Linked DNA regions of Diceros bicornis minor. The protein of the gene in region 1 interacts with the protein of each later gene in a pairwise test. Links are inferred from orthologs where the notes say so. Each region holds a gene or a part of one and is shown in the gene's direction. Other genes may lie near its edges. The genes, in order: EFHC2, CACNB4, TSSK3 and MAPK9.

What was found.
Region 2: the proteins of EFHC2 (region 1) and CACNB4 interact in binary tests that used the Homo sapiens proteins (3 or more experiments, as listed by UniProt). The two-hybrid records come from large-scale screens. The link is inferred for Diceros bicornis minor from reciprocal best matches to the Homo sapiens genes EFHC2 and CACNB4.
Region 3: the proteins of EFHC2 (region 1) and TSSK3 interact in binary tests that used the Homo sapiens proteins (3 or more experiments, as listed by UniProt). The two-hybrid records come from large-scale screens. The link is inferred for Diceros bicornis minor from reciprocal best matches to the Homo sapiens genes EFHC2 and TSSK3.
Region 4: the proteins of EFHC2 (region 1) and MAPK9 interact in binary tests that used the Homo sapiens proteins (3 or more experiments, as listed by UniProt). The two-hybrid records come from large-scale screens. The link is inferred for Diceros bicornis minor from reciprocal best matches to the Homo sapiens genes EFHC2 and MAPK9.

Annotation. Positions count from the first base shown.
Region 1 is NC_080781.1:38,620,837-38,628,234, reverse strand, and holds the start of EFHC2 (EF-hand domain-containing family member C2), read left to right. Parts: upstream 1-4,386; 5' UTR 4,387-4,446; coding exon 4,447-4,488; intron 4,489-7,398. UniProt on the Homo sapiens protein: Microtubule inner protein (MIP) part of the dynein-decorated doublet microtubules (DMTs) in cilia axoneme, which is required for motile cilia beating.
Region 2 is NC_080749.1:35,966,081-35,973,345, reverse strand, and holds the start of CACNB4 (voltage-dependent L-type calcium channel subunit beta-4), read left to right. Parts: upstream 1-4,244; coding exon 4,245-4,304; intron 4,305-4,509; exon of another isoform or gene 4,510-4,590; coding exon of another isoform or gene 4,591-4,599; intron 4,600-4,814; coding exon 4,815-4,898; intron 4,899-7,265. UniProt on the Homo sapiens protein: The beta subunit of voltage-dependent calcium channels contributes to the function of the calcium channel by increasing peak calcium current, shifting the voltage dependencies of activation and inactivation, modulating G protein inhibition and controlling the alpha-1 subunit membrane targeting.
Region 3 is NC_080752.1:47,104,845-47,112,346, forward strand, and holds TSSK3 (testis-specific serine/threonine-protein kinase 3), read left to right. Parts: upstream 1-4,946; coding exon 4,947-5,091; intron 5,092-5,823; coding exon 5,824-6,488; 3' UTR 6,489-6,987; downstream 6,988-7,502. Other genes in the region: protein FAM229A, read right to left, coding at 3,593-3,695, 3,965-4,111, 4,193-4,329. UniProt on the Homo sapiens protein: Serine/threonine protein kinase required for spermatid development and male fertility.
Region 4 is NC_080740.1:93,220,375-93,227,205, reverse strand, and holds the start of MAPK9 (mitogen-activated protein kinase 9), read left to right. Parts: upstream 1-3,820; 5' UTR 3,821-3,927; intron 3,928-6,831. UniProt on the Homo sapiens protein: Serine/threonine-protein kinase involved in various processes such as cell proliferation, differentiation, migration, transformation and programmed cell death.

The DNA of each region.
Region 1 (7,398 bases):
AAAGTAGAGATCAGAGGAAAATTCATAGCCTTAAACACTTATAGCAATAAAAATAAAAGAATAAAGTAGAAAAATAATGAAGATTAGGAATAGAAAATAGTAGGTCAAAGTAATAAAGCAAAATTCTGGTGCTTTGAAAAAAGTAACAAAACATATAAACCACTAGCTAAATTAATCAAATGAAAAAGGGAGAAACACAGCTACAAAATAAGAAAGACAAAGAAGAAACAGAGAAGGACAGAGCAAAAACTTAATGTGGAATACACATGGGAACACAATGAACCAGACTGATTTTCAAATGAGTAACTTAACTAACATAAATGCTCTAAACAGGAAGAGGAGGAGGGGAGAGAGGAAACAAATCAGTCATTTTGAAACACAATATTTTGACTAAATATATTAGGACTAAAGAAAAAAACCTGAAAACAAACATTGAACTCTAGTTAGTAGGTTTGTTTTTTACAACGACATGAGTTACATATTCTGAAACTGCTTCAGGGGTCTTTTAGTATTGAACAAATAAGTAAATATTTTCAGGGTAATTGGATTCAGGTTTGTTACTATTTGAGAAGAGCATTACAGATGTGGAAAGTGGAGTTTGAACATGTACTCTATTGTGTTATTGGAATTGGACATACCAGTATAAACTCATGGGTTTTAATATATCTATTACTACATATACCTATATCTGTATCTATCTATCTATAGATAGAAATGGAAAGAGATATAACTATATGTGCATAGCTACATCTACCTATATCCATAGATATCTTGAATATCTTGTAGTGACAGCACAAGGAAGTGCTTGAAAAATGGTGGGGATAATCAAAAAGACAGAGGAGTAAACTTAGAAGGACTCTCACTGACCAAATGTGGGACACTTTTAGCTTCAAAATAGATAATAATAGTAAGAGATTATAAACCACTGAAGAAAATAAGAACCTGTAGACCATTCTGATATAAATGAATGAATAAATAAATAAATGGAGAGGGAGGAAAAGTACGTCCTTGAAGTAGAATGCCAACTAATATATGTAGAAGGAATGATGGAGTTAAGAAATCACCATTTGGTAACCATAATGGTAATAAATTGTTTGGGCAAAATCCTCAATTGACACTAGTAGTTTAATGAGGAACTTGGTATTTATATAGTCTCAAAGTATCTCCTCACAAAATTCTTATTAATTGGAAAGGAAAAACAGTAGCTTTACAGTGGAGAAACTTGGCACACACCACCTTAACCAGGTGATCAAAGTTAACCTCACCATTCATGGTTGAAATACACATTATGTACCTGTTTCTTTGATGAATGAGAAGGACACAGCATTCCTCTTGTGGTGTACCTGCCAAAAAGCCATAAACAAAAAGCCGTGGATTTACTCATGAGGAAATAGCGGTCAAACCTAAATTGAAGAACATTCTACCAAATATCTGGCCTATTCTCTTCAACAATATCAAGGTCGGGAAAGACAAGAAAGATGGAAGAATCCTTTCAGATTAAAGGCGAATAGGGGCTGGCCCCCTGGCCTAGTGGTTAAGTTCTGTGCTCTCCCCTTCTGCACGGGTTTGGTTCTGGGTGTGGACCTACACTGCTCATCAGCAGCCATGCTGTGGTGGCGACCCACAGACAATATAGAGGAAGGCTGGCACAGATGTTAGCTCAGGGCGAATCTTCCTCAAGAAAAAAGAAGAAGATTGGCAGTGGTCGTTAGCTCAGGATGAATCTTCCTCAGCAAAAAAAAAAAGAGAATAAAGAGACGTGACAACTATTGTGTGATGTTGGATCAGATTCTGGGCCAGATTTTTTTAAATTAATTTTTTTGCTATAAAGGATATTTTTGGAACAATTAACTCAATTTGAATATGTATTTTAGATTGGAAAATAGTATTTATTAATACTAATTTTCTGATTTTGATTATTATATGCTTCAGTTATGTAAGAGAATGTCCTTGTTATTAAGAAATATATACTAAAATATTTAGGGGGTAAAGGGGCATGATGTCTGCTATTTACTCTAAAATGGAAAAAATTGTATATATAAAGGGAATGATAAAACAACTATGGTAAAATACAAAACAATTGGTGGAATCTGGGTGAAGGGTAAACAGGAGTTCTTTGTACTATTCCTGCAACTTTTCTATCGGTTTGAAATTATTTCAATTTAAAAAGTATCAAAAAAGAAATATTTGAAAATATTTGTAAGAATGTGTAGGAGAATAATTTTGTTCTACAGAATTTTTTGAATTCCCATACAGTGCACAAATCATAATGGAAAAGAATGATCTATTTGAGTAGAGTAAAAGGACACATTCATGTACAATGAATAACTCTATAAATGGAATTAAAAGACAAACCACAAATGATGAGAAGATATTTGCTGTGCTGAGGATTAGTATCCAGAATATATTTAAAAAATTACAAATGATCAAATAGAAAAATCAGCAAAGGATATGAATAGATGAGTCACAGAAGACGGTAACAAGATGTGGAAAGATGACCAATTGCGCTAGGAATTAGAGAGAAACAAATTAAAATAAGAATGGTATACCATTTCACATTTTTTCAGATGATTGCTCAAAATTATACAATTTGATAATACCCATTGTTGAAAGGATGAAGGGGAAAGGGAACTTTCTTAATTGGTTCAACGATTCTGGAGTTGGTTAGCAAGATCTAATAAAGTCGAAAGTGTGAACAATTCCACCTTTGGGTATGTAGCCTAGAAAACCTCCAAAGAACAGGAGAGGATTGTGCACTGCAGCATTGTCGATAACTAGTGAAAAACTGGAAACAACCTAATTGTCATCATCAGATGACAAAAGATGGATCAGTAATTTGTGGTGTAATCATACAATGTTTAAAATGAATGAAATATATCTACATGTGTTAACAGGTAGAAATCTCAAAACCAAAATTTTAGGTGAAAAAAGCAGGCAGCATAAATTTATAGTGTAAAATTTATAAACACAGAAAAGAATAATGTATGCTGTTTACGAATAAAAAAGGAGATAAAGTCTCTGCTCTGGAGGAATTTGGGGGCATCTGAAGAGAGTCAAGTAAACGCATGATTACAACGCAGTACCGGGAAAGCCACAATTAGAATGAGCATCTAATACAGATGGGGGAGTGGAGAAGGTGAAGGAACATTTTCCAGAAATGGCAAAGACTTCCATGCCTCTTTCCTACACTGAACCAAGTCCTGAAAGACCAGAAGGGGTTACCCAGGTGAAAGATAGGAAGGAAGGGTGTTTCTAGCAGATAGTGAGCGACATTTGCAAAATCCCAGAGGGAAGACACCGTAGAGTCTGGTTTGGAAACTGGCAGTGGTTTTTCAGAGCTGGAGTAGAGGCGGGGGGCAAAGACAGGGATGGAGGGCGTTGGCAGGCCCCCCCGACATAATCTCTGACCACGCTAAGGAGTTTGCATCCTGAAGGCGGCGGGCGGAAAGGCTAGAAGAATATTGAAGCAGAAGAGTAACAGGTGCATCACGAATTGTAATAGGATGGCTCTGGAGGCAAGATCATTTAGTTGTTTGTTGGTTTTTTTTTTGAAAGAAAACCAGGCAAGAAATAATGGGGCCTCAACTGAGAGAGAGGAGGTGGTGACTAAGAGATGCCAGCGTGTCCAACCAGTAGGACTCAGGGAGGGACTAGCTGTAGGTGTGGGGGAGAGGAATCGAGGAGGCTCTTGGCCTTGGCATCTTGGGTGACAGGGGCCGCGTTTTGTGCCAACTGACCACACCTTGGCCACCCTGATTGGGCCAGGAACGAGCACTTTACAAATATTTATTTCAAATATAAAAATGTACAGGGGAAGGACTGAGGATGGTGGTTACCGCTGAATGGGTTTTCATGGGGAGGGGCGAAGACGGATGGGGTGTGTGTGGCTTTGGCTTCATCTCGAACGTTTTAATTACAAAATAAAGGCTGATGTAAATGTAACATTAACTAGCGTTACATTTCTGTGAGCACGAGCACGCGGGTGTCATATTCTTTTTTGCGCTTTTCTGTCTGTTTGAACTAAATTTAATAACCAAATGGCAAAAACTGTTGTGGCAAGAATCGCAGGAGCTTTAAGTACCGGAAAGCCTTTGAGCTCTAGAAAGGGGTTAAACTAGAAAGCGGCGGGGGCGGGGAATGGTGCAGTTGCCAGTCTTTGTCTGTGCACAATGCGTGTGGAAAGAAAAGCCCCGGGGGACCTGTGCGTGCCGGCGGAGTTGAGCCGGGGTGGGCGGGGGAGGAGGTGCGCGCGGGGAGCTTCCCGCCTGGCCCCGCCCCTCCCCGGCCCCGCCCAGAGCCCCCGGCCCGCCGCAGCCCCTCCTCCTTCGGTGACGCCGCCTCTCGTCTCTAAGTAACGAGGGGGGGGTCAAACGACGCGGCCGAGGGGCGGCCGCTGCCTGACGGTCCCTTTCCTCCGGGACCCTTGAGCCCTGGCCGCTCAGAGCCATGGCCCTGCCGTTTCTGCCTGGCCACAGCTTCAAGCGCAACGTGAGTAGTGAGGGCGCCCAGGGTCAGAAGTCCCGGCCGGAGTGTGGGGTCCAGGCGTGGTCTCCTCCTAGACCCTACTGGAGGCCTCCTGCCTCTGCTTCGCCTTCTAGGTGAATTGGGCACAACTTCGACCAAACTTTATAGGCTGGTGGGACCCTTGTTCTGGGCCTCCCCTTCCCTGTATCTCTCAAACTGCATCTGGATGCTTTTCCTACATGAGATACATAAGTAGAGTCCTTAGAGGTGGCAGGACCCTCAGAGGTAGCCGATGGTAGTGATGATGATTACAACCGTCGTTGAGTGTTTGAGGTGTGCCAGGCGCTGTGCTTTCATCGCCTTACACGGCGTTTGATGCTCCCAACAGCCCTTTGTTTTAGGTAGTATTTTTATTCCCATTTTACAGTTGAGGAAACTGAGGCACAGAGCGATGAGTCACTCATTGGCCAGAGCTACACAATCTCAGTGGTGAAGCTGGGTTTCTTCCAGGCAACTTGTCTCCACAGCCCAGGAACCTAATTATTATCCTTAATTAGAGGAAGTTTCTGTTATTAAAGTGAAGAAACCTGGCACACTGGAGGCTAGTAGGGGGCAGATAGGTGAGGGTTCCACCAGCTTATAAAGTTGGATCCTAAACTTTATAGAGAGAAGCACCCAAACTTAAAGTTCTTTTCTTTATTTAGAATTGGGAGGGGTTCATTTCAAAACAAGATGAAGTTACAAAACACCATAACAACACAAAAAACCCTGAGCAGGAAAGAACTTTTGCCAGGAAATAGCCCCTTATTTAAACAACAGCAGAGAAATGATTCAAGCTTTTGTTTGCACTGGTCACTACTTTTTACTTGGAATGTCCGTTGTGTCTGTAGGAAGAAGGTAAGTAATCCACTGGTGGGAGGGAACTAGATGGAGCCACTCAAGGTGTTTGTGTAAACCTCTGATAAATTTGGAAAACAGGCAGCAGATTGAAGCGTTCGATTTTATGGAGTCTGAACAGTGTCTATGTCCAAGTTGTCGGCCTCCAAGTACCAGTTTCTTCCTGGCTTCAGACCACTGGATTCTGACCCCCACAGATCGGCTGGTTAGTCCAACTTGCTTCTTGAACAGTGGTTTGTGTATTTCTTGGCTGATAGGGTAGAGGCTGGCCTTCTAGCCTAGCACTGCCCTGTGGTAAGGTTAAGCCAGCCACACAAATAAGAAAGACCTCTGAGAGGCAGGGCATGAAAAAAGATTCCAGAAGGAAAGAAGCATGCTGTATAAAAGTAAGTTTAATAAAAATTGAAAGTAGAGCCCACAGCTTTCGCCCAGCGTCACTTCAGATTACAGATGCCCACCTCCTGCAGAAGTTTCCCAGCTCTCACATGCAGTGATTAAGAGTGGGAAGGAAAAACAGTGGTTGGATGAGATATTTTAAAATCTGCTGGCTGCACTGAGTGTACTTTTGCTTTTTTTTTTAACTTTTTTTTATTGTGAAGTACAACACATGTACAGAAAAATGCACAATGGATGATCACAGGATGAACATCAAGAAATAGAATATTACCAGTATTCCAAAAGCATCTCTCTTAACACGGTTGCCAGAGTTAGCAAATAAAAATACATATCCTAGATATTCCCTGGGACCTACTTATACTAAAAGATGACTTGTTCTTTATCTGAAATTCAAATTTAACTGAGCATCTTATATTTTATGTGGCAACCCTTCTTATGACCCTTTCTGGTCATTACCCCTTCCCTTTTCTCTAAAGGTAACCACTATCCTGGCTGCTGTCACTATAGTTAGATTTTGCTTGCTTTTGAACTTATCAATGGAAATGTCCAGTGTTTAATTCTTTTGTGACTGGCTTTTTTTAGCTCAACATTGTGATTTGTTCATGTGGCTGTCTGTCGAGGTAGTTTGTACATTTTCATTGCTCTATAGTATTCCATTGTATGAGTGTGACGTCATTTATATACACATTTTTCTCTTGACAGATTTGGTTTGGGTTTATTAAGCATAGTTTGCTGTGGCTATTCTGGTTCATGTCTCTTGGTACAATTGCTAGATCATACGGTATTCGTATGTTCAGCTTTAGTAGACACTGTCAAAGTGATTATATCAATTTAAATTCCCACCAGCATTTGATGTTCCTCTTGCTCCACATTCTTTCTAACACTTGATACTGTTAGTCTTAGATTTTAGTTACTTTGGTCAGTGGATGTAGTGCAACTCTGTAGTTTTCATCTGCGCTTCCCTGATTCCTAATGAAGTTAAGCACATTTCATACATTTATTGGTTATTTGGATATTGTCTGTTGTGTAGTGCCTGGCTCTTGTCTGATTTTCTACTGGGTTGCCTGCCTTTTCCTAGTGATTTGTAGGAGTTCTATATAGATTTTGGATATGGCTCCTTTGTACGATATATGTGTTGCAAATATCTTCTAGTCTGTTTATTTCCTGTTTAAGAAATAGTTCCTTATACCAAGTTCATGATGATGTTTTCCTGTGTTATCTTCTGGAAATTTTGTTGTTTTTACCTTTCACATTTAGATCTATAATCTAATGGGAAGAAATTTGTGCATGTGTGTATGAAAAGAGGTGGGGGTCAGGTCGTATTTTTTTGCTATATGGATATTCTGTTGACCCAGAACCATTTGTTAAAGGACAAAATTCAACCAAGTAAATTTTAAAGATCTTATTGGCTTTATTCAGTGATTCATGAATCAGGCAGCATCCAGTCTAGCAGATAGAAAAGAGCTTCGAAGAGCTATATAAGGCAAGAGATTGTATAGGCAGAAGGGAGCAGGAACAAGGAAGTTGTACTAGGCAAAAATTGGATTGATTATCCTAAGGTTACTTGCCTTATAGAGAATGGCAGAGGTTTATCAGGCAGATTACCTAAGTAATGCTGACCAGGCGATTCCTGATTGGCTG
Region 2 (7,265 bases), on another chromosome or scaffold:
CTGCCAGACTGTTTTTCAAAGTGACTGCACCATTTTACATTCCCACCAGCAGTGTATTATGTTTCCAATTTTTCCATATCCTTGCCAACACTTATTATCTGACTTTTTGATTATAGTTATCCTAGTGGGTGTAAAGTGGTATCTTTCGTGGTTTGGATTTGCATTCCTCTGATGACTAATGATGTCAAGCATTTTTTCATGTGCTTATTGATCATTTGTAAATCTTCTTTGGAGAAATGTCTATTCAGATTCTTTGCCCATTTTTAAAATTGTGTTGTCTTTTTATTACTGAGCTGTAAGAGTTTTTTATATATTTTATAGATGCAAGTGTCTTATCAGATATATGATTTGCAAATATTTTCTCCCATTCTGTGGGTTGTCTTTTCACTCTCCTGACAGTGCTCTTTGGAGTTCAAACATTTTTAATTTTGACGAAGTCCAATTTATTTATTTTTTTCCTTTAGTGCTTGAGCTTTTCGTGTCATATCTAAGAATCCACTGCCAAATCCAAGGTCATGAAGATTTACCCTTACGTTTTCTTCTAACAGTTTTACATCTTTTTTTTTTTTGGTTGATTTGATATTTTATTTTATTTTATTTATTTATTTTTTATTGATGTTTTAATGGTTTCTAACATTGTGAAATTTTGGGTTGTACATTTTTGTTTGTCCATCACCATATATATGACTCCCTTCACCCCTTGTGCCCCCCCCACCCCCAGCCCCACTGCCCCTGGTAACCACAGTCCAGTTTTCTCTGTCCATGTGTTGGTTTATATTCCACATGAGTGAGATCATACAGTGTTTGTCTTTCTCTTTCTGGCTTATTTCACTTAACATAATACGCTCCAGGCCCATCCATGTTGTTGCAAATGGGACAATTCTGTCTTTTTTTATGGCTGAGTAGTATTCCATTGTATATATATACCACATTTTCTTAATCCAATCGTCAGTCGAGGGACACTTAGGTTGCTTCCACTTCTTGGCTATGGTGAATAATGCTGCAATGAACATAGGGGTGCATAAGCCTCTTTGGATTGTTGATTTCAGGTGCGTTGGATAGATTCCCAGTAGTGGGATGGCTGGATCATAGGGCATCTCTATTTTTAATTCTTTGAGGAATCTCCATACCGTTTTCCATAGAGGCTGCACCAATTTGCATTCCCACCAGCTGTGTATGAGGGTTCCTGTTTCTCCACATCCTCTCCAACATTTGTTGTTTTTTGTCTTGGTGATTACAGCCATTCTAACGGGCGTGAGGTGGTATCTTAGTGTTGTTTTGATTTGTATTTCCCTGATGATTAGTGATGTTGAGCATCTTTTCATGTGCCTATTGGCCATCTGTATATCTTCCTTGGAGAAGTGTCTGTTCATTTCCTCTGCCCATTTTTTGATCGAGTTGTTTGTTTTTTTGTTGTTCAGTTGTGTGAGTTCTTTATATATTATGGAGATCAACCCCTTGTCAGATGTATGTTTTGCAAATATTCTCTCTCAGCTGGTTGGTTGTCTAACAGTTTTACATTTTTAGCTCTTTCATTTACATCTTTGGCCTATTTTGAGTTAATTTTTTGTGTGTGGTGTGAGGTAGGGGTCCAACTTCATTCTTTCAGCCCTGGTTCTGGGGGCAGGGACAATGCTGTACCTCTCTCTCAGAGTGACACCCCCACTTTAGGAGCTGAGCACTTGGTAGGGAGGGGCAGCAGTCCCAGGTCTCCTGGCTTGCCTCTCCATGAGCAGTCAGGGCCCTGTATTCTCAGTGGTGCTCACCCAACGGACAGCCTCCATCCCATGAGTGGGGGCAGGGCTAAAGAAGGAAGCCCCCACCTCTCTTCTGTATTTGATGGGAACTTAGCCTCAGCAGCAGATAGCTGGGGCAGGTGGATAAATGCTGATGTCCTGTCCCTCCCAGGAAGATAACCCTCCTGCTGGGAGCTGAGGGAAGAGGGAGCCCTGCGTTCTCTGCTGCACCAATGTGGAGTGAATTTCCCTCTTGCTGAACTGCATGCAAGCAGAGAGAGAGGGAGTGGGGCTTGGTTCAAATACTACAGGCTCCCAGTTTTCTTACTGAGTTTTAGTAAATTTTCTTGAATAAATGTTTCTTCATTTGCTGTGGACTCTTAGGACCATTTTCAGAGATTTAAAAAAATATTTTAAATAATTTTCACCAGTTTTGCTGTGGGGTAGGTGCAGAGAACTCCTCACTGTCACGCAGCTGTAGATTCTCTTTTGATAACTCACAGTCAGAGAGACTGTGTGCAGTGGAAAACCAGAAAACTCAAATTCCAGTGCCCACATAATAATTCATTCTCTGTATATTGATTAAGTATCAACTATAAAAATGACTCAGAACTAAAAATGGATTGAGTTGACGGTAACTACGGCAGAAAGTTCTGCATTGGCAGACTTACCATTACCCATAAACTTTATGGAATATCTACTATATGTGAGTATAAGAATAGAAGATAAAAAGCTAAAAATCTATTTTAGAAATTAGGAGATTTTCACAAAAAGAGAACTAATAAACCAAGGCAGCCTGTACTAAGTGTCCAGAGAATAAATGCTCCGGTTTTTCAGGGGCATGAGAAACTATCCAGGACTAGAGTGGTCAGGGAGGATTTCTGTGGAGGAAGAGTGAGCTGAGCCAGGATTGGAGGAAGGGTTGGAGGAAGGGTGTGTGGGTTGGGGGTAGGTTCCATTCCAAGGCAGAGGTGCTGAGGTGGGATTGTACTTGCTATGTTTCAGCAACCAGTAGACCTGTTTGCTTGCTAGAAGGTCTGTATGGAGAGATCAAGGTGGAGAAATGAGGTGGTGACAAGAAAAGCAGGAGACAAGGGCTTGGCTGTTGGAACATGGAGTTGGGACCCAGCTCATGGGATGCTGAGAGCAATGAGTGCATTTTAGAGAAGAGTGACTTGGGCAAAGAGATTTGAGGAAAATGGCTTTGCCTGTCATATGTAGATGGAATGAAGTGTGTGTGTGTGTGTATGTGTGTGCAGGAGAAAGCCTGGACGCTAGGAGACTAGTTGTTAGACTTAGAAAGAAATGAAGGTCTGGATTAGGTGAAGGAAAGGAAGTCAGGACCTCAATAAGGCCAACTAATTGTTAAACATGGCAGTTTCCATAAGAAAAAATCCTAGAAGGCAAGGTGACACCGGCTGATTTAACAATTTGAGATACTATGCATATTTTAATGATGGATTTCTCATTCAGTAGTTATAGTTAAACAGGGTCTCTCTATTTTTGATTTCGCCTACATTTTCCTTCCCTCTTCTTATTACTTCAAATTCTCCCTCTCTTTTAATTTGATCTCAGATTAATCCCTTGTATGTATTTGCCGGAGGAAACCAAGGGTTGCAACAATGGCAAAGACTGTGTACGGTTTCAAGGAGGAGTTTCCTCCCTAGCAAACAGCTATCCGCGGAGAAATGGAAGGCACGTGGCCAACTCTTGCTTTTTAGCAGGTCTAAAATGACCTTCAAAACTCCTCAGGACATGTTGGTCGCCTGCGGGGCCGCATCTCCCGTCAGACTCAGGCTGGCAGAGTCTCGCGCGGCTGCCTGGATGTGTATGGCTCGCGGTTCTGAGGCTAGAGTTGACAAAACAAAATAAAACACGGACAAAAAGCAAACCACAAAACCCCATGCCTTACCACAGCGGGCTGACGGGTGAAGTCGCGAAAGGAAGGGTCGGCTCTTGCCTTTTTAAAATTCCAGTGCAGTAAACACACACACACACACACACACACACACACACACACACACACGCCCCGGCTGGCTCTTCCCACGCCCTGCCACACTGCACCAGCGTCCCTCCCCAAGTCCTGATTCATGAACCGTGCCACCTTTGTCTCATTTTAAACTGTGCAGACTATTTTAATCCTCCCACCCCCATCCCAGATTTTTTCCCCTCCCTGCATCCTCTGGAAAGCTCTGATGTAAGGCGCTCGCTAGGTGGGAGAGCGCTTCTCCCAATCGGCTCGGGCAGGCGAGATCCGGTGAAGCCCCCTCCGCAAGACCTCCGCCCGCGGGGCCGCTGCCCGGGACCCCCCTGCGGGCGCGGAGGAAGCGCCTCGGTCCCTTTAAGGTGTCGCGCTCTCAGAAGTGCGGGCAGGGCGCCCGGGGGCCGGCGAGGGTCCCGTAGCCGGGTGGGGACGCCCGCCGCCCTCCCCTCCTCCCGCCCGCGAGCCTGCGGGGGCCTGCCCGCCCTCCGCCCACCGCGCACGGGCGGGCCATGCGGCTGTGAACCATGTCCTCCTCCTACGCCAAGAACGGGACCGCGGACGGGCCGCACTCTCCCACGTCGCAGGTACCGCCCCCTCCTCCTCCTCCTCCTCCTCCTCCTCCTCCCTCCCCGCTGCCCGAGAGCGCCCCGCCTTCGTGCCGGGCGCGCGGGGCCCCCAGTCCTGAGAGTCCGCGGGCCGGCCGCCCCACCCCTCCCCCGCGTCCCTTTCTCCTCCCGCTCCTCCTCTTTCTCCTCCTCCTGGTCCTCCTCCTCCTCACCTCGTCGGGTCTCTGCGCTCCCGCTCCGGAGCCCGCAGCCTTCCCCAGCCGATGCCGGGGACTTGAACCCCGCACCCTGAGAGTCTTTGTTAATGGATGTGGTGGGTGCTCGCAGGCGGCTCTTCTCGGGCGTTTTTTCAGCCGTCGAGGCTTGGCATGGGTGGGTAGGGGTGGGGGCTGTACCTGGGGACCGCGGAGGAGATTTGGGTGCTGGCTCTGGGGGAGCCCGGGGAGCTGGTCCGGAGGCGGGGGTGGTCGCCTGGCTCGACGCTGCCGTCCTCACTGGCTTCTCTCTGGCCCCGTGTGTCGAGTCCAGGTGGCCCGAGGCACCACAACCCGGAGGAGCAGGTTGAAAAGATCCGATGGCAGCACCACTTCGACCAGCTTCATCCTCAGACAGGTAGGAGGCGGGCGCGGGAAGGAGGCGAGGAAGCAGGTCGGGGAGGCGGCCGAGCGCGCGGCGCCGGGGTCCGGGAGCCGGGCGCAGCCCCCCGGTGCGGGAGCGGCGGGTCGCGTCTCCGCGCGCCTCTGTGAAGCCCCGGGCGGGCGCTCCGGCTGCGTCCTTCTCCCTCTGTGCCCCTGCGCCCGGAGACTTCAGGTCCAGGCGTCTCCGCACCGCCCTGGGAACTTAGTTTGTGCGTGTGTACGCAAGTCGGCGGGGATCTGGTTTAAATCGGGGACGTTGAATTTAAGACTGAAAATAATTCTGGTTGCACCTTCGGTGTGTGGGGAAACGTCTCTAAGTCATGTAACTAGATTTTGCGTAACCAGAGCCCCTGGGACTGGTTTGATTCGGCTGAGAGTTAGGGGTCTCTTTTCTTTTGCCTTATTTTGAATACTCTTCTCTGACTAGGTCTTGGGAGAGATCTCCGAGCTCTGGTCAAAAGAAATACACTTTGAGCAGAAAGTTTGGTCTCACTTTGGGACCGCTTCTTTGGTTCGCTTAATTAAGGAAAGGCTGCCGGATCTGATTAAACCGAAATAAGCGACGGCCGGCACTCAGTTCCCGGGGTCTGAGTGGTACTACACTCAGCGTTTGTTTTTTCGAGGTGGTTTTCTTCTCGGTGCTTCTAGTGCGCATGGTGCATGCTAAAGATCGCCGGTTGCGCTGGACGCTTAGGTGCCTTTCACCTTGACACAGAAAATTGGTCCTTAATTTTCATACTGTCCATGTATGTAAATGAAACCACCCCTACATAGCTGCTGGGTGCTGGAGAGATCATGCAAAAGTGAGTCACCTTGATCTCTTTCTGGAACAGAAACTGTCGAGGTCTGTGCGTTCTGGGTGACCTGGGAGGATTTCTTTTATCCTGGGCTCCGCTGTGGGCTGCTGGAGTGACCTTGGGAAGTTCTTTTCCCAAGGTCTTTTCCTCCCAGGTCACTCAGAGCATTGTGTAATGTGTTTTTAACCTATGGTGGCAGCTGCGGTGTGTTTCTTTAGTGATTATCATCAATTTGAACAGATTATCCACGACGTGTGGGCATTAGATTCAAAATTGGACTCAGACCTCTCCTGAAGGGTCCAGAAAACATAGTTAGATATTTATTATGCGGATACTCATTTTCTGCAGAAAAAGAAATTACTACTACTCTTTCATTCAGTGAGCATTAAGCATAAGCATTATTAAAATAAATATATTTTGTATTCTGAATTCATTGTAAAAGTGCGTTCTATACCCTTTGCAGTGTTTAGATTACTTATGTATTTGATAAGTCAAAGATATTCTTCGTCTTTAAAAAAATTTTCGAGTTATGTGACCATTTGAGGTCTTGTTGATGTCTACTTCGTAGGTGCCTATTTTTGGTAGTGTTTTATGGTTGCAAAATTCTTAGAGATACTAATTATTCAGCAGTGTATTCAATGATCTGTTTTACTAAAAGTTTTGAGTTCATCTACACCTTCACTACACTAATGCTTTAGTCTTCCACACACAAACAAAACAATCAATATTCTTTCTAATATCCTTATTCTTTCCTCAATTTACTCCAATAAATGATTAAGTGAGATAATGCATGTGTAAGTTCTTGTTAAGTGTGCTGCCATGTGTTGGCTTAAAAATGTAAAAAGTATTGCATGCTAAATACTTTTGGGAATAATTTAAACCAATGCAGATTTTTAGAACTAATATATTTCATAAGTCTTTCTGAAACTGGGGTTTGTTGGTTTAATAAAATGGTCTAATTTAAAATCAGGAGTTGGTTGTAATAGTATTATGTACACAATCTTCCCACTTTTTTCTGCACAAAAATAATACATAATTTCGGGGAGCACTTACAGTTCTGTGAGTATCCTACACCTGATCTCATTTGAATAGCATAATATGGACTTCCATAATGGCTATAATAAAAATAAATGAGGGATTTTTATTTCTTTGACAAGAGAATAGAAACGATTGCAAATGGAATTTAACAATACTTTTTGAAATAAAATTAAACAGCTTTCACCCAAATGCCAAAAATTTTTTTTTTTTTTAAAAAGCATAACAGCTGTTTTTGTTATTAGAGCCTCATTATTTGTAGAATGACCAGTGATTTATTGTTTTTGAATTCTTGATACATTGGAGTGATGGAATTTCTTGGTGATATTTCACAGGCTGTGTGATGCTTTTGCACATGAAGAAGATAGTGGAGATACCAATAAAAATAGCACTGCTCATTTCTCTGTCGTGTCATTTACAAATATATGGAGGGATACCTTTCACTAAAAAAAAAAAAAAATTGAATAGTCAAATCAGATTGGTAAGATTGGGCTGGTGGTGAAGAACAG
Region 3 (7,502 bases), on another chromosome or scaffold:
CACCTACAGAATAAAGTTCAAACTCAAGGCCTCCTTGACCCAGTTTCTCTTCTGTGAACCCCTCCCTGGATCCCCTCAATTCTGAGCAAAGGCAAGGGATCTGTCAGGTTCAGGCCTGGGTTCTCAGCACCTGGTGTGGCTCAAGTAGGTATTGGTGGAAGTTGACTGAACTGAATTCCTTGAACTTGCCCTCTACTTTCTTGCCTCTGGGCCTTTGCCCACAATGTTCCCTCCACCTGGCATGCCCTTTCCCCTTGCTCATGGACACTCTAGAGCTAACTAGCCCCAGGGTCTGGCCCATTGGCAAGGCTTGTGTTTGGAATCTTGGCATCCCTCAATATCCAAGCATATGGGAGGTGGCAATAAATCTTTTAAAGGAAAGGAGGGTTGAGAAGATGGGAGAAAGGAAGTAAGGGAAAAGAGAAGAGAGAAAGGAAGAATGGGAAGGATTCAGCATTTTGGTGCTGGCAAGGTCCTAGAGATCAGCTGGTGCCTTTTGTTTTTTCTTTTTTTTATACCAGTGAGGAAATGGGCCCAGAGGGAAGGGAATTGACTGAGTGAGGCCTGCCAGCAGGTCGTTAGTAGGCTATGTGAGATCTATGAGGGCCGAGGTCCATGTCTGTCAAGGTCACTGCTGAATCCCCAGTGCCCTGCACGGGCCTGGCTGGTAGACCTGTACTGTCTGAGTCAGGGACATAGCCTGAACTAGAACCCAGTGATCTGATGACTGGTAACACTGTCCAAGGCTCCTGATCGCCATGGAACAGAGTTCCGTGGAATCCTGACTCCTGCCACTCTCTACCCCTTTTTTGCAGGTATCTTTTTCTCCCAGCATACCCAATCTTCCAATCTTTGCATAAGCTGTCTCTGATCCCAGAATGTTTTTTCTTCAACTTCTGCTCATTATTTTCTGATGATGCTGTCAATCATCCGGCTATGCTTGCACCTCAAGGGAAGGCTTACCTATGGCTCAGCCTGGTCAATTATAGTCTCCCATCTCTCTGACAATGGTGATTGGCCCAAGGAGTGTGCACATGATTTAAGAAGGGCCAGTTATTGCCCTTCCAGGGATAGGTATACTGAGACTGGAGAAAGCAGCTCCCTTCCTGGGATTTCCAAGCTGCTGCAGCCATGTTCCCTGCCCAGAGGAGATAATCAAGAATGATGGGGCAGTCTGGTGGGGTTGAATCCTTGGTTCCAGCCCAAGGATGCCCTGGTTCCTACAGTTCTTCCTTTAATCACTAGCTTATGTCCTTCCCAGCCACTTCAAACAATCAATTCCTTTTTTGCTTAAGCTAACTTCAGTTGCTCGCAGTGGAGAGAACTTATCAATACAGAGGCCAATAATTTTTTCTCTCTGAAATTACAATGGCCTCCTAAGGAGGGTGAGTACTGTTTACGGGGGGGGGGGGGGGGGGGAAGGCCCTTTTTCTGCAGAGCAGCAGCATAGGTTGCTAGGCTGAGTAGGGCTTACATGGAGTATGGTGGGAATGGGAACAGCTGGATTACTCTACTTAATAGAGAGAGGAACCGAGAGTCCCTGGGGGGTGGAGTAGGGCTCTGCAGGAGGTCAGGGTGGAGGAGGAGAGGAGTGAAGGAGAGAGAGGCCAGTTCTATGGCCTGAAGCCAGGGATTATCCTGGTGAAGGGGAAAGATAGGCATGGAGGGGCTTTCAAGAGCCAGGGTATTTAAAGGACCAGAGGACTGAATGGTCAAGTCTAAAGTCCTCACTTTGAAGTAGACTTTTTTTTGGCAAACGTCCTCTCCTTCAATAAGCCAATAAGTCCCAATAACGTTTGGGACTGCCTGGGAGGGTATTTTGTGTGGAAGTTGAGAAAGGTTGCCCTTCAGCGTGACCATGGGATTCTGAAGTGCTCTGGGGAGGGCTTGGACTTCTACCCCATGTGGATTAGGGGAGGGGTGTTGAGTCAATTGTATTTAGATCTCAGGGGACAGGAGACTGAACCTGACGTTTGGGTTACATATATTATTTCCAGTGTTAAAATAGTACAGGTTCATGTTAGAATGGCTATAATCACCAAGACAAAAAACAACAAATGTTGGAGAGGTTGTGGAGAAAAGGGAACCCTCATACACTGCTGGTGGGAATGCAAACTGGTGTAGCCTCTATGGAAAACAGTATGGAGATTTCTCAAAAAATTAAAAATAGAAATACCATACGATGCAGCTATCCCACTACTGGGTATTTAGCCAAAGAACTTGAAATCAACAATTCAAAGAGACTTTTGCTCCCCTATGTTCACTGCAGCATTATTCACTATAGCCAAGAAGTGGAAGCAACCCAAGTGTCCACTGACTGATGAATGGATAAAGAAGATGTGTTATATATATACAATGGAATACTACTCAGCCATAAAAAAAGACAAAATCATCCCATGTGCAACAACATGGATGGACCTGGAGAGTATTATGTTATGTGAAATAAGCCAGACAGAGAAAGACCAACACCATACGATTTCACTCATATGTGGAAGATAAACTAACACACAGAGAGAATAGATTAGTGGTTACCAGAGGGGAAGGGGCTTGGTGGGTGGGCATAAGGGGTAAAGGGGCACATATATATGGTGATGACAAATAATAATATACAACTGAAATTTCACAATGTTATAAACTATTATGACCTCAATAAAATAAAAAAAGGACAGCAAAAAAATATATAATAATGCAGGTTCTTCAAAGCAAAATTAGAAAGTGGGAAAATACTCGTTCAGCTTAAATACTGCACTTCCAGGCAGCCTTCGTGTCATGGCCCCTCTTATGGATGGCTTTTAGAGCATTAAGTCTGAGGACACTGAGGAATGTGCTAGCATCACCCATCATCTGGGGGACCTGGGACAAGTCTTTCAAGCCTCAGTTCCCTCACCTGTAAAATAGGAATAAGAAATCAAAGTTTTTCAAACAACTTCTTCCTCAATCTTCTTTCTAGGAATAACCAAGACTCAAGATGGACAGGGCAGCTCCTAACCCCTCCAACAAAGCCAGAGGTGCCCAGGGTAACAAACAGCAGGTAGCAAAAGCTAATTCCATCCTGGGAGAATTAAGTGAGCCTGGTGTGGGTGGCCATTCTCTCTACTCTAAGTTGTCTATCCATCCCTCTCCAGTGGTGAGCTGCTCTGGGCTCCCTGAGTCCAGCACAGTAATGCGAATTCCATTCAAGAACCAAGGAGAGGGATGGGAAGAAGGATGAGGGAGGGCCCAAGCTGAAAGGTAGTCCTGAAAGAGGTCAGGACCAGCAACAAATGGGGGGAGGGGTTGGCCCCCAGCAAGAAGAAAGGGGACCCGGAAAAGCATGCCCCTAGGGCTGGGTCCAAAGGAGGAGACAGCCCAAGGGAAGGTGCTATTGGATGGGGCGGAGCAGTAGGTCGGCCCGGTCCGACGGGATAGACATACACAGCCAGCCCGGAGTGGAAAGAACAGTTTATGCTGTGCTTTATTAAAATGTGCATCATTCTTTTATTTTAAAATGTGCATCATTGTCTCGTGCTCTGTGTGCGCGATTTCAGCGTGGTGGCCCGCGGCGGGCCTCGTTCCCGCCCGGCTCCCGCGGAGCCGCCGTGCGCAGGCGCACTCAGGTGGCGCGGGCCCGGGGGCTCCCGCCCATGGCCAGATAGACGTCGATGGGCACGTGCAGCAGCGTCAGGCAGTGGCAGCCCGGGCAGCGTCGAAGCGGCCTGGAGAGACGGGGCGCGACAGGGGACGCTGAGGCGGGGTCCCGGCCTATCTTGTCGGGGACGCTCCCGGGGAGGGCACCTGGGGTCCCCGAGGTTTGGGCGTGGATGTGGTCATCTACTGGGGGGACGGGGGTGTCTGGGGATGGGAAGTGGGACAGGGGCGGGGCCGGAAGCGCTCGGCGCGCAGCCGTCCGCCCAGCTCCCCCTCGGGACGGTGGGGAGGGCCGGGACGGCAAGAGGGCTCGCGGGGGGAGGGGCGCCGGCCTCACCTGACTGGGTTGTGCTCCGTGGTTACCGGCTCTGGGCTGTCCTGGGATTCGGGGGCGGCAGCAAGGCCAGGGGAGTCTCCGGCCTCAATGGGGAATCTCCGACCCTGCGGGGGCTCCCGGGCACTCATGTCCAGGCCCCGGGGCGCTCTGCGCGGGGAGTGGCGTTCAGGCTGCTCCCGGGCCGCCAGGCGCCCCCTCCCCGCGCCCGCGCCCTGGGTCGTTGCTCACCTGCCGGAGGCCGAGGCCGGACCCAGGCTGAAAGCAGCTGCCTGAGCCCTGGCTGCGGGAGGACGCTCCGGTCCAAGCGGAGCCGGGCAGGTGTCTGCGGCGTGTCCGGGCCCGGGCGTCGAGGGGGAGGGCTGCATTGTGACCCGGGCCGCGGCGCGCTGACCTCACAGAACCCGTTCCTCCCACTGAGGAATCCCCCAGCGCTCCCCGCCGCCCCGGCACTTAGCGCGGCCGCGAGCCAGGTGCCGGAGGGCTTTTGCCATGGCGCCTTGACACTGGGTCGCGCAGACCCCCAGCTGCCCGATGGGGGCGCAGGAGGAGACGGCAACCAGCTGCGAGGCAGCGTCCACCAAAGGGAGCTCGGCATCCTGGGCCGCGCAGACACCCGTGTGCGCCGCCCCCCCCGAAAAGCCTGCGACTCACTGCCTGGCGTGGGGGCGGGGGCGCACCAGTGACTTAACCCGCGCTGGGTTTGGTGGTGGTCGTTTGAGGGCAGGTACGGGCTCTGCCCATTTTGGCTAAGGGTCACACAGCATTTACATCACAATTGGGCCGAAGTTTTAAAATGTCCGGCCATCTCCCTTCCCACTACCCGCGGCTGCTGTGTACAGACGGAGAATGTTCTAGCGCTGGGGGCGGCTGCGGATGAAGTCCTTGGGGGGAAAAGTAGCTGGCCAAGGGCAATGGTGGAGTAGAGCTGCCTCCTGGAGGCAGCATGAGCTGAGAGGGTGATAGGAAGGAGGCGCTAGACAGCATGGAGGACTTTCTGCTCTCCAATGGGTACCAGCTGGGCAAGACCATTGGGGAAGGGACCTACTCAAAAGTCAAAGAAGCATTTTCCAAAAAACACCAAAGAAAAGTGGCAATTAAAATTATAGACAAGATGGGAGGGCCAGAAGGTGAGCTGGGGCCCCTTTGGAAGAAGGGAGGGCTGGCTGAGGTGGGTGGGTGCTTCCTCCAGTCAGAAGGCTCATTCCTTCCTCCCTTTAGTCTGGAACCAGGGAAAGCAAGAGAGATGGTGCCTCTGGGGTAGGTCAGTGGGGAACAGAGAATGCTGGGAGTCCAGGAACATCACACCCTCCAAAACCCAAAATTAAGGTGGCAGGAGGTGGAGAGTCCTCAGAGGCAGAACTTGAGCCTGCCAGGCCTCTCTTATTCCAGGAGGGGAACAGAGAGAGGCCACGGCCAGGGCTAGCAGAGGGCAGGAGTTGGTGCCAAGGCAGGTAGAGATGGGAAAGACAGGGCTCATGGAAAGAACTGTGGGTCAGGAGGCAGGGGTGGAAGGAGTTCGCTCACCTCACTGTGGGCAAATCAGGCCTAATAACTGAGATTCAATGGCTTTGTCTACAAGTCCCCAAAGCACCTTGATATCCAAGGTCTCACAGGCTGCTCACAACAGTCCCTGAGGCTGGCAGGGACTAGTTCCTTTGAATAATATATTAATGCAAAAATAATAGAGGTGAACATTCTTTGCAATGTCCAAGCAGCTAGACATTTAAGACTGTTAAAGGCAACCAAGGCACAAGACCCAGACGTGATGGGCAGACAGAAGCTGGAAGGTAGGAGACAGGAGTAAGGAGTTAGGCCCTTCCAGCCTTGATACCCCATCTCTTTTCCCCTTGTTTCCTCAGAGTTTATCCAGAGATTCCTGCCTCGGGAGCTCCAGATCGTCCGTATCCTGGACCACAAGAACATCATCCAGGTGTATGAGATGCTGGAGTCCGCCGATGGGAAAATCTACCTGGTGATGGAGCTGGCTGAGGGAGGGGATGTCTTTGACTGCGTGCTGAATGGGGGGCCACTGCCTGAGAGCCAGGCTAAGGCCCTCTTCCGTCAGATGGTCGAGGCCATCCGCTACTGCCACGGCTGTGGCGTGGCCCACCGAGACCTCAAGTGCGAGAACGCCTTGTTGCAAGGCTTCAACCTGAAGCTGACTGACTTTGGCTTCGCCAAGGTGCTGCCCAAGTCACGCCGGGAGCTGAGCCAAACCTTCTGCGGCAGCACAGCCTATGCTGCCCCTGAGGTGCTGCAGGGTATTCCCCACGATAGCAAGAAGGGTGATGTCTGGAGCATGGGTGTGGTCCTGTACGTCATGCTCTGTGCCAGCCTACCTTTTGACGACACAGACATCCCCAAGATGCTGTGGCAGCAGCAGAAGGGGGTGTCCTTCCCCACTCATCTGGGCATCTCGGCTGAATGCCAGGACCTGCTCAAGCGGCTCCTGGAACCAGACATGACTCTCCGGCCTTCCATCGAAGAAGTTAGTTGGCATCCATGGCTAGCAAGCACTTCGTAAAAGCAATGGCAAGTCCTCCCCAATAAAGTAGGGGGAGAAAGCAAACCCAAAACCCGCTTCTAAAATGGTGATATATATTTTACACTTTAAGTTTACTTATCCTAAAACTTACCTACACCCTCCCCAGCCTTACTTCTCTTTTCCTTTAAAGATCTTCATGGAACCAGAGGGCCTCGTTCAGACTTCCCTTTTATTAAGGCTGACAAGTGATTTTCATACAGGTGTTTAACTAAAGTTAATTAAAAATAGACCCCAGAATCATACACATACACGGGGAGGAGAGGAGAAAAATGACCAAGAGCAATCGGAACCACTGTTGTTGCAACTTTCTTTCCAAATAAAAGCAGAAGTGTTGGGAATGCAGAAATGGTCTTGATTCCTTGTCTTGGTGAGAGGTCTGTTGGAGGCCCTGTCCCTTCCTCATCCCAAAGGCCAAGCTGAGTCTGGGATGAGGACAAGGGACTTCCCCACGACCCAGGCTAACCCCCATCCCTCCCCCTCCCCCAGGCTCCAAGTGGGCAGCCACCCTGCACATGGCGTGCATTCTGCCTTGCCTCCAAGGGCAGCTGCCATGGGGGACAAGAACAGACCCCCAGACACCTTCCAGCTTCTGTTGAATCTCTTTAATGCTGTTAACGGCAAGTCTGGAAAAGGTTCAGGACAAAGTTCTTTTTTCTTTCTTTTTTAATTACAAAACTAACAGCTGTTAGAATCTTTTTTTTTTTTCCTTTTTTCTTTTCCCAGCTACAAAATACTCTGGGGAGATGCATTATAATTTAAAATATATAATATTGCACAAACAACCAAAAGGTTAATTAAACTAAAGAAATAATTACAAAGAGAAAAATCCCATCCCATCAAAAAAAGATTCAGCATTCTCTCCATCCCACCCCCTCATTGAAGGTTTGAAGTGGAAATGAACACCACTCTCTTGGCATCCCTGACCACCATCCCTTTAAATCATTGGTGAACACACCAGATTATGTACAAGAATCACCAGAGCAGCATCGTGAA
Region 4 (6,831 bases), on another chromosome or scaffold:
AAAGCCTTCCTCTCCACAGGAGGGTGAGCAGGCCAAGGGCAGAGGTCCCTACTCCAAAAGCCAGGCCAGCAACCATGGCGTCCTCCCCAACTCCTCCTCCTCCCTCACCCCCACACCCCACCTCTCACTAAGACCTGAGAATTCCACCTCTCAAACAGCTTTTTTTCTTTACATCAAGTTTATTTTAGTATAATTTACAGACACTAAAAGTCACCCTTTTCCAAGTGCGCAGTTCTGCATTTTCACACACATATAGTCATATGACCACTGCCATAATTAAAACATAGTTTACCCATCATCCCCCAAAATTCCCTCAAAGCCCCCCTGTAGTCATTCCCCTCCCCGTACTTGACCTTTGGCAACCAATGATCTGATTTGCTTTTTCCGTAATGTCATATTAATGGAATCATAGAGGACGTAGCCTTACGTTTGGCTTCTTTCCCTTAGCATGATGTTTTGGGTACTTATCCATGTGGTGCACTTGTCAGCAGGTCACATTCCGCCATATAGACGTACTACAGTTTGTTTGTCCATTCACTGGATTATAAGCATATGGGTTTTTTCTAGTTTTTGACTGTTGCAAATAAAGCCGCTATGAACATTTGTGTACAGCTCCTTGTGTGGACATGTTTTTATTTCTCTTGATACACACCCAGGAATGGGATTGCTGGGTGGTATGACAGGTGTATGTTTAATGTTATCAGAAGCTGCCAAACTGTTTTCCAAAGTGGGTATACCATTTTGCTTTCCTACCAACAGTGTAGGGAGAGTTCCATTTGCTCCACATCATCACTAACACTGGATATTGTCTGTCTTGTTTATTACAGCCATCCTAGTGGGTGTGTAGTAATAGTAGTTCATTGTGATTTTAATTTGCATTTCTCTAAAGTCTTGAAACAGCTTTTTTTGTGTGTGTGTAAGGAAGATCAGCCCTGAGCTAACATCCATGCTAATCCTCCTCTTTTTGCTGAGGAAGACTGGCTCTGAGTTAACACCTATTGCCAATCCTCCTCCTTTCCCCCTCCCCCCAAAGCCCCAGTAGATAGTTGTATGTCATAGTTGCACATCCTTCTAGTTGCTGTATGTGGGACGCGGCCTCAGCATGGCCGGAGAAGTGGTGCGTCGGTGCGCGCCCGGGGTCCGAACCCGGGCCGCCAGTAGCGGAGCTCCCGCACTTAACCGCTAAGCCACGGGGCTGGCCCTTGAAACAGTTTTAAAATCAGTTCCTTCCTCTTGACACCTGCTGCCAAGACCACGGCCCCAGGCCAGGCCAGGCCTCATCTTCTCTCACAAGGGCCTTTGCAATAGCTCCCTAACTAGTCTTGTGGCTTTAAGCCCCACATCCCTGAAACTTCATATGCCCTAGTAATCTTTCCAAAATAAACTCCTAGTTACATTGCTCACTTCTTTTCTTAATATCCATCAACAGCTGCCCTTTATCTCCACAGCCAGGCCTCCACTCTGCAATGCCCCAAGGGCCAGCAGGTAAGGGATGAGTGAAGTTGCAACCAGGCATGGGTAATAGGGAATGGTGGGGACTGTGGTGAACTAGGGGCCTCACCTAAAGGGGCAGCTGCCACTCAGTTCCAGCTGACCACTGCCCTCTGGCAATGCAGGCCCCATGTTGCCAGAGCTTCTAACTATTTAAGAGAAAACAACTGAGCTTTTTCAAGCGAAATCTCCCAATTTTTAAATGCTGGTAACTGGCAAGTCAATTAAAAAACAAAACCTCCTCTCTGGGCTAAACAGGGAATATCAGTGAGCTGAAGCCAGCCCATGGGACTCCAGTCAGCAGTGCCAGCTCACCTGAAGGCCCTCATAACTCTCCAGTCCCTCCTCCCCTATCTCCAGCAAGACCAGGTGACATGTGGTTCCCTGAACGCAGCACGCAGGTCCTCACTTCTGAACCTTTGGGTCTGAGGGCCCTTTCCACCTAAACCACTGGCCCAGCACGTTCCTGCTGGCTTTCCACCCTGGCTAGGGCTTCTTCCTGTCCAAGAGGCCTTCTTAACTGCGTCTCCCACCTGGCAGGCTGGGTCAGCTGTCAGTTATGCTCCTGGGCGCCCCTCCCCTCATCGCAGTTCTCATCACACCTGCAGGATCTTCTCACTGGTCCACCTCACCAAATTCCGTGCACTCTTCCAAGGACGGACCAGCCCCCTTCCCTGCACTGTCACCTCAGCTCTGTGCCCATAAATGTTCACTGTATTTCATAAACCAGAAAAAGGCAGACTCCTTTCAGAAAACTCAGGGTGGAATATGTACAGGTGTGTGTATGTACAATGATTTTTGGTATGCACCTTGCATGGCATGAGTGCTGAAAACTCAAGGCTGGAGTGTGTCTTGGAATGGGTACCCCTTCCTAATCTGAGGAGAAGCCCCCATGAGACTTGGTAAACCTGCAGCTCTGACATCCAGGCTTTACTAGTTTCCCATAATCCTAGATGGCAGTCATTTTTGGTTCCCTGTTTCTGTTGTGCACCTGGGGCAAGTGGCAGGTGAGGCTGAGGTGAGGACAGGAGCCCACCTGGTGGGCTCTCCTCAATGCAGGCCACACTCCGGAGCTAGAATTTCAAGCAGGGATGGGCCATACTCAATCTTAGAAAACTCCCTCTGGTGGCCAAGGTGGAGGGTGCCTAAGAGGGACACCATGGCCGGATCCCTTCCTCTACCCAACCCCTCCTCTGAGGCCCTGGTGCCCCCAGCCTGGCCTGGGTCACAGGTTTGCTGCTCTTCCCAAATTGTGCCACCAACCTCCATACCCCTATGCCCCTAGACCTCCCCATCTGTAAGGTCCTGCTCCTTTCCCCTAATTTAAACCCCGCCCTGGTCACCCTGTGGGCCCTGGCTTCCTGTGAGGGCTGTTCCTCCTCCGGAGTCCCCCACTCTCCCCATCTCCAAAGTCCAACTCCCCCCACCCCATCCGTGGCCCTCTGGGCTTTTCCCCCCTGTGTCCAGCCTCCTTGCCTCACTTCCAGCTTTGCTTATCCAATAAGCGAATCCGGAATACCCAATACCCTGGCCTCTGCCATCATTTCATACGTTCCCAGGCCCGCTGGAACCCAGCTGGGCCGGAGGGCTGTGGGAGATGACTCAAACGGAGGTCGGGGTCAGCGAACTCCAGCCCCTAGGGGCCCTCATCACTGCACTCCCCTCCCCTACTTATGAGCCTGCCCCTCTCCTCTCAGGCAGAGGCTTGAACCCTGCCCCAAGCGCACCCGCCTGTCTAGGCCTCCTCTGTCACTGACCGGCCGGGGACACTTGTCTGCACATGGCCATCTCCTTGCACCCGCTCCGTTCAGATTGCTGGCGGCACCCCTAAGAACCCTTTCCAGGGAGCGGCGGCGTCCGAGGCCCCCGCCTCCCCTCCCCAGTCGCTCGCGGCCGCGCCTCCTCCTCCCGGGAACCACCCCGCGCCGTCGCCCGGGCTGTCCCCACACCGACCGGCTCCGTCCCGTCCAGGCCGCATCGCCGCTGCCACTGCACGTGTAGCCAGAGGCCCGGCTCCTCGGTCCCGCCGGCCCCCTCTCCGCCGGCTCGCTGTCAGGCCGCGGCACCGCGGGCCCCGCGGGCTCGACGGACACAGCGGCGCGCACCCCGCCTGCGGCCACAGGGCGCCGGCCAGCCGAGGCCGCGGCCCCGCCCCCGGCCCGGCCCGCCCCCCGCCGCCATTGGCCGCGACCGCTCGGCTCTCCGCGCACTGATTGGCCGGCGCGCGGGTCGGTCAGGCGGGCACCGCGGCGGCGGCGGCGGCGGCGACGCGAGCGGACCGGAAGGGTCGAAGCGCTCGGCGCCCCTCACACCCACGGCGACGGCGGCGGTGGCGGGCGGGGCGGCGGAGCCGGGGCCGCGGAGCCGCGAGCGGCCAGCGCAGCGCCGCCAGTCCGCCCGCCCGCCCTCTCCCCGGCACGGCGGTGGAGAGGCGAGGTGAGCCGGCGGGCGGGCGGGCGGGCGGGCGGCTAGGCCCGGCGGGGGCCGCTCGGGGAGGGGCCGCTCAGGGAGGGGCGGCGGGAGGGCGGCGCGGCGGGGGCGGGGGGCTGGGGGCCGCGGGCGCTGGCGTCGCCCCTGAGCTCGGCCGCCGCGGGCCCCCGCCCGCCGCTGACAGCGGCCCGGGGCTGCGCGCTCGCCGGCCCGGCGGGCAGACGGCCGCGGGTCCATGGGCGCCGCCCCCGCCGTGGGGCGCAGCCGCAGCCCCGCCGGGATGCTCAGGGCCCGGCCGGGCGCCGACCCTCACGGCGCCCCGGTCTCCCCCGGACAGGCTTGCGGACAGGGTTGTTGTCAGGCTCGGGGAAGGTGTGTGAAAGCGCTGGGCGGGAGCCAGCCCCTGCGGGTGCTAGTGTGGCAGGAGCCCCCACCCGCGCTTCTCCGGGGCCTCGTCATTGCCCACTCGGTGCCCAGCGACGCCAGAGCCGGCGTGCCCACCTCCCCACCACTCCCCCACCCGGAGCACCGCACTCCTCTGCCACCCGTCTTCTCCCCCGCCTTGAACCTGTGGCCCCGTTTACCTCAGGACCTTTGCACTGACTGTTTCCAATGCTTGGAGTCGTCGCCCGGATCTTTGCACAGCTGGGGCTCCTGCTGGTCCTTCCTCCGGTCAGACGGCTCCTTCTCTCTGAGGCCTTCCGTGACCACCCTCTTTCTTCTCGTAGTCCTTCTGTCTCATGTTGGTTAACTTTCCTCCAAGCATTCACTCAGGTGTGAAACGACTCTATTTATGGGTCTGTTTATTTTGTCTCCCCCACTAGGATGTAGCCTTATGAAAACAGGTAGTTGTCTAATTAGTCCACTGCTTTATCCCCAGTGCTTAGAAAGCCCACAGTAAGTACTCAGTAATACCTGTTCACTGAGTGAAGCAGCCACTCTGCCTGCCTGCGGCCTCTGCTCTATCTGTCCGTGTAGTGACTCATGAGTGACGAGTGAAACTTGTAAGCGGATGGAAGCTGGTTCTCGTTTTGTGAAACATTTGAATGTCCTTGACCCCTTTATTTGGTAACTGTCAGAACAAGCTGTGATATAAACTTACATTTCTGTAGCGTTGTCGCTCTAACTTCGCACGTTCAAGAGACATTGCATTATCTGGGTCAGGCTTTCTGCTTGACCCTGAGGACACAAAGGCAATACAACAGGGTCCCTTCCTCAGGAGAGCCCAGTGGAGAAGGCAGACGTGCAGACCTTCGGTGCCAGGACAGAGTGCCACTCTGCGGTGGAGGGGCTGTGCCCTGGAAATGAGGAGGCCACCGGTGGTACTGGAGTCGGGCCTTGCGTGGTGCTGAGAAGTGTGCCAGGCGGGGAGAGGCACAGAAAGGGGTAGGGCAGGGCGAAGGAGGGACTTGAGCCTGGTGTGGGGTTGGGAGTTGGCCTGCAGGGCCAGGTGTAAGACAGTCCGGAGTGGTGGGGACCCCGGAGAACCAGACCTTGCCTAGCGTTTTTTAAAATGCAGAATTCTAGATTTGTATCTCTACTCTCCTGATTTTTAAATATTGGCAGTAGCTAATTAAAAATTTTTTCAGGGGCCGGCAGTGGTGCAGGGGTTAAGTGCGCGCGCTCTGCTGCGGCGGCCCCGGGGCGGCCCCGCAGGTTCGGATCCCGGGCGCGCACCAACACACCGCTTATCAGGCCATGCTGTGGCAGCGTCCCATATAAAGTGGAGGAAGACGGGCACAGATGTTAGCCCAGGGCCACTCTTCCTCAGCAAAAGGAGGAGGATTGGCATCAGATGTTAGCTCAGGGCTGATCTTCCTCACAAAAAAAAAAAAAAAATTTAATGCCACGAGCTGAGCAAAATACAGACCTCATTCAGTTTGGCTGCAGGATTGTCAGCCTCCAGGGCAGGTTCGTAGGAGGGAAGAGCTGCAGTGAGCTGGAAAGGTAGCCTGAGGCCAGGGGAGCTAGGCCCTGCTTGTCCAGATACTCTCCTTTAATTGTCACTGGAGCCCTGTGAGGAGCACCTATGAAACCCATTTCTGCAGAGGAGGAAATGGAGGCTCACAGAGTTTCAGCTGTTTGCGTCACAGCCAGCAGCTGGAAGGTGAAATTTGAACCCAGGTCTCCCCCAGATTAGCGTTCTTTCCTAGTCCCTCAGCTCTAAGTATTCTCTTTTGGCTTTTAATTTGTTCTGGAAGAACAACATCTGATCTAGATAATGTTTTCTTTCATTTAACCGTTTTTTTCCCTTCAAAAGGATACTACAGGGTTAAAAATAATCCTATTTTGGTATAGTCTTCTCTGGAGAGCTTTTAAATTTTCCTGAGAATTTTCAGGATGCCAGGACTTTAAATAATTTGTTGATGACTAAAATGTGTTTATATGGCCCCCCCTAAATAAATGTTAGGGCGTACACTTCAGTTTGTCTATTTAAAATAAAATTTTAGTTTTCTGGATAAAGAAAAGTGCCAGGTGAAGCAATTAATAGTGAGTAAAGCAATTGTTTTTATGGTGCATAAAGTAAAACAGAAACTACATTTTTTTCTTAACGCTATTGATTCAGCAGTAGGGCAGCTATTTTTGGTCTAAATATGTAGTTATACTTCACTCCTGGTTAAGAAGGTGACATTTTTACTTAATTTTCCTTAAAAATAATTAAATTTGTACTTGGCCTTTTGTGATTGTGTGAACTAGTTTCAACATCAGTCTTGATTTTAACTGTTTATTATGAGGACTTTCAAACACACGCAAAATGAACAGGATGGTATCCAGCTTCAACAGTTGTCAACTCCTGGCCAATCTTGTTTCATCCCTAACCTCATTCACTTACACCCTCACCCCCCATATTATTTTAAAGCAAATCCTATATATTATGTGATTTCATCCATGAATTTTTTAGTATATGTC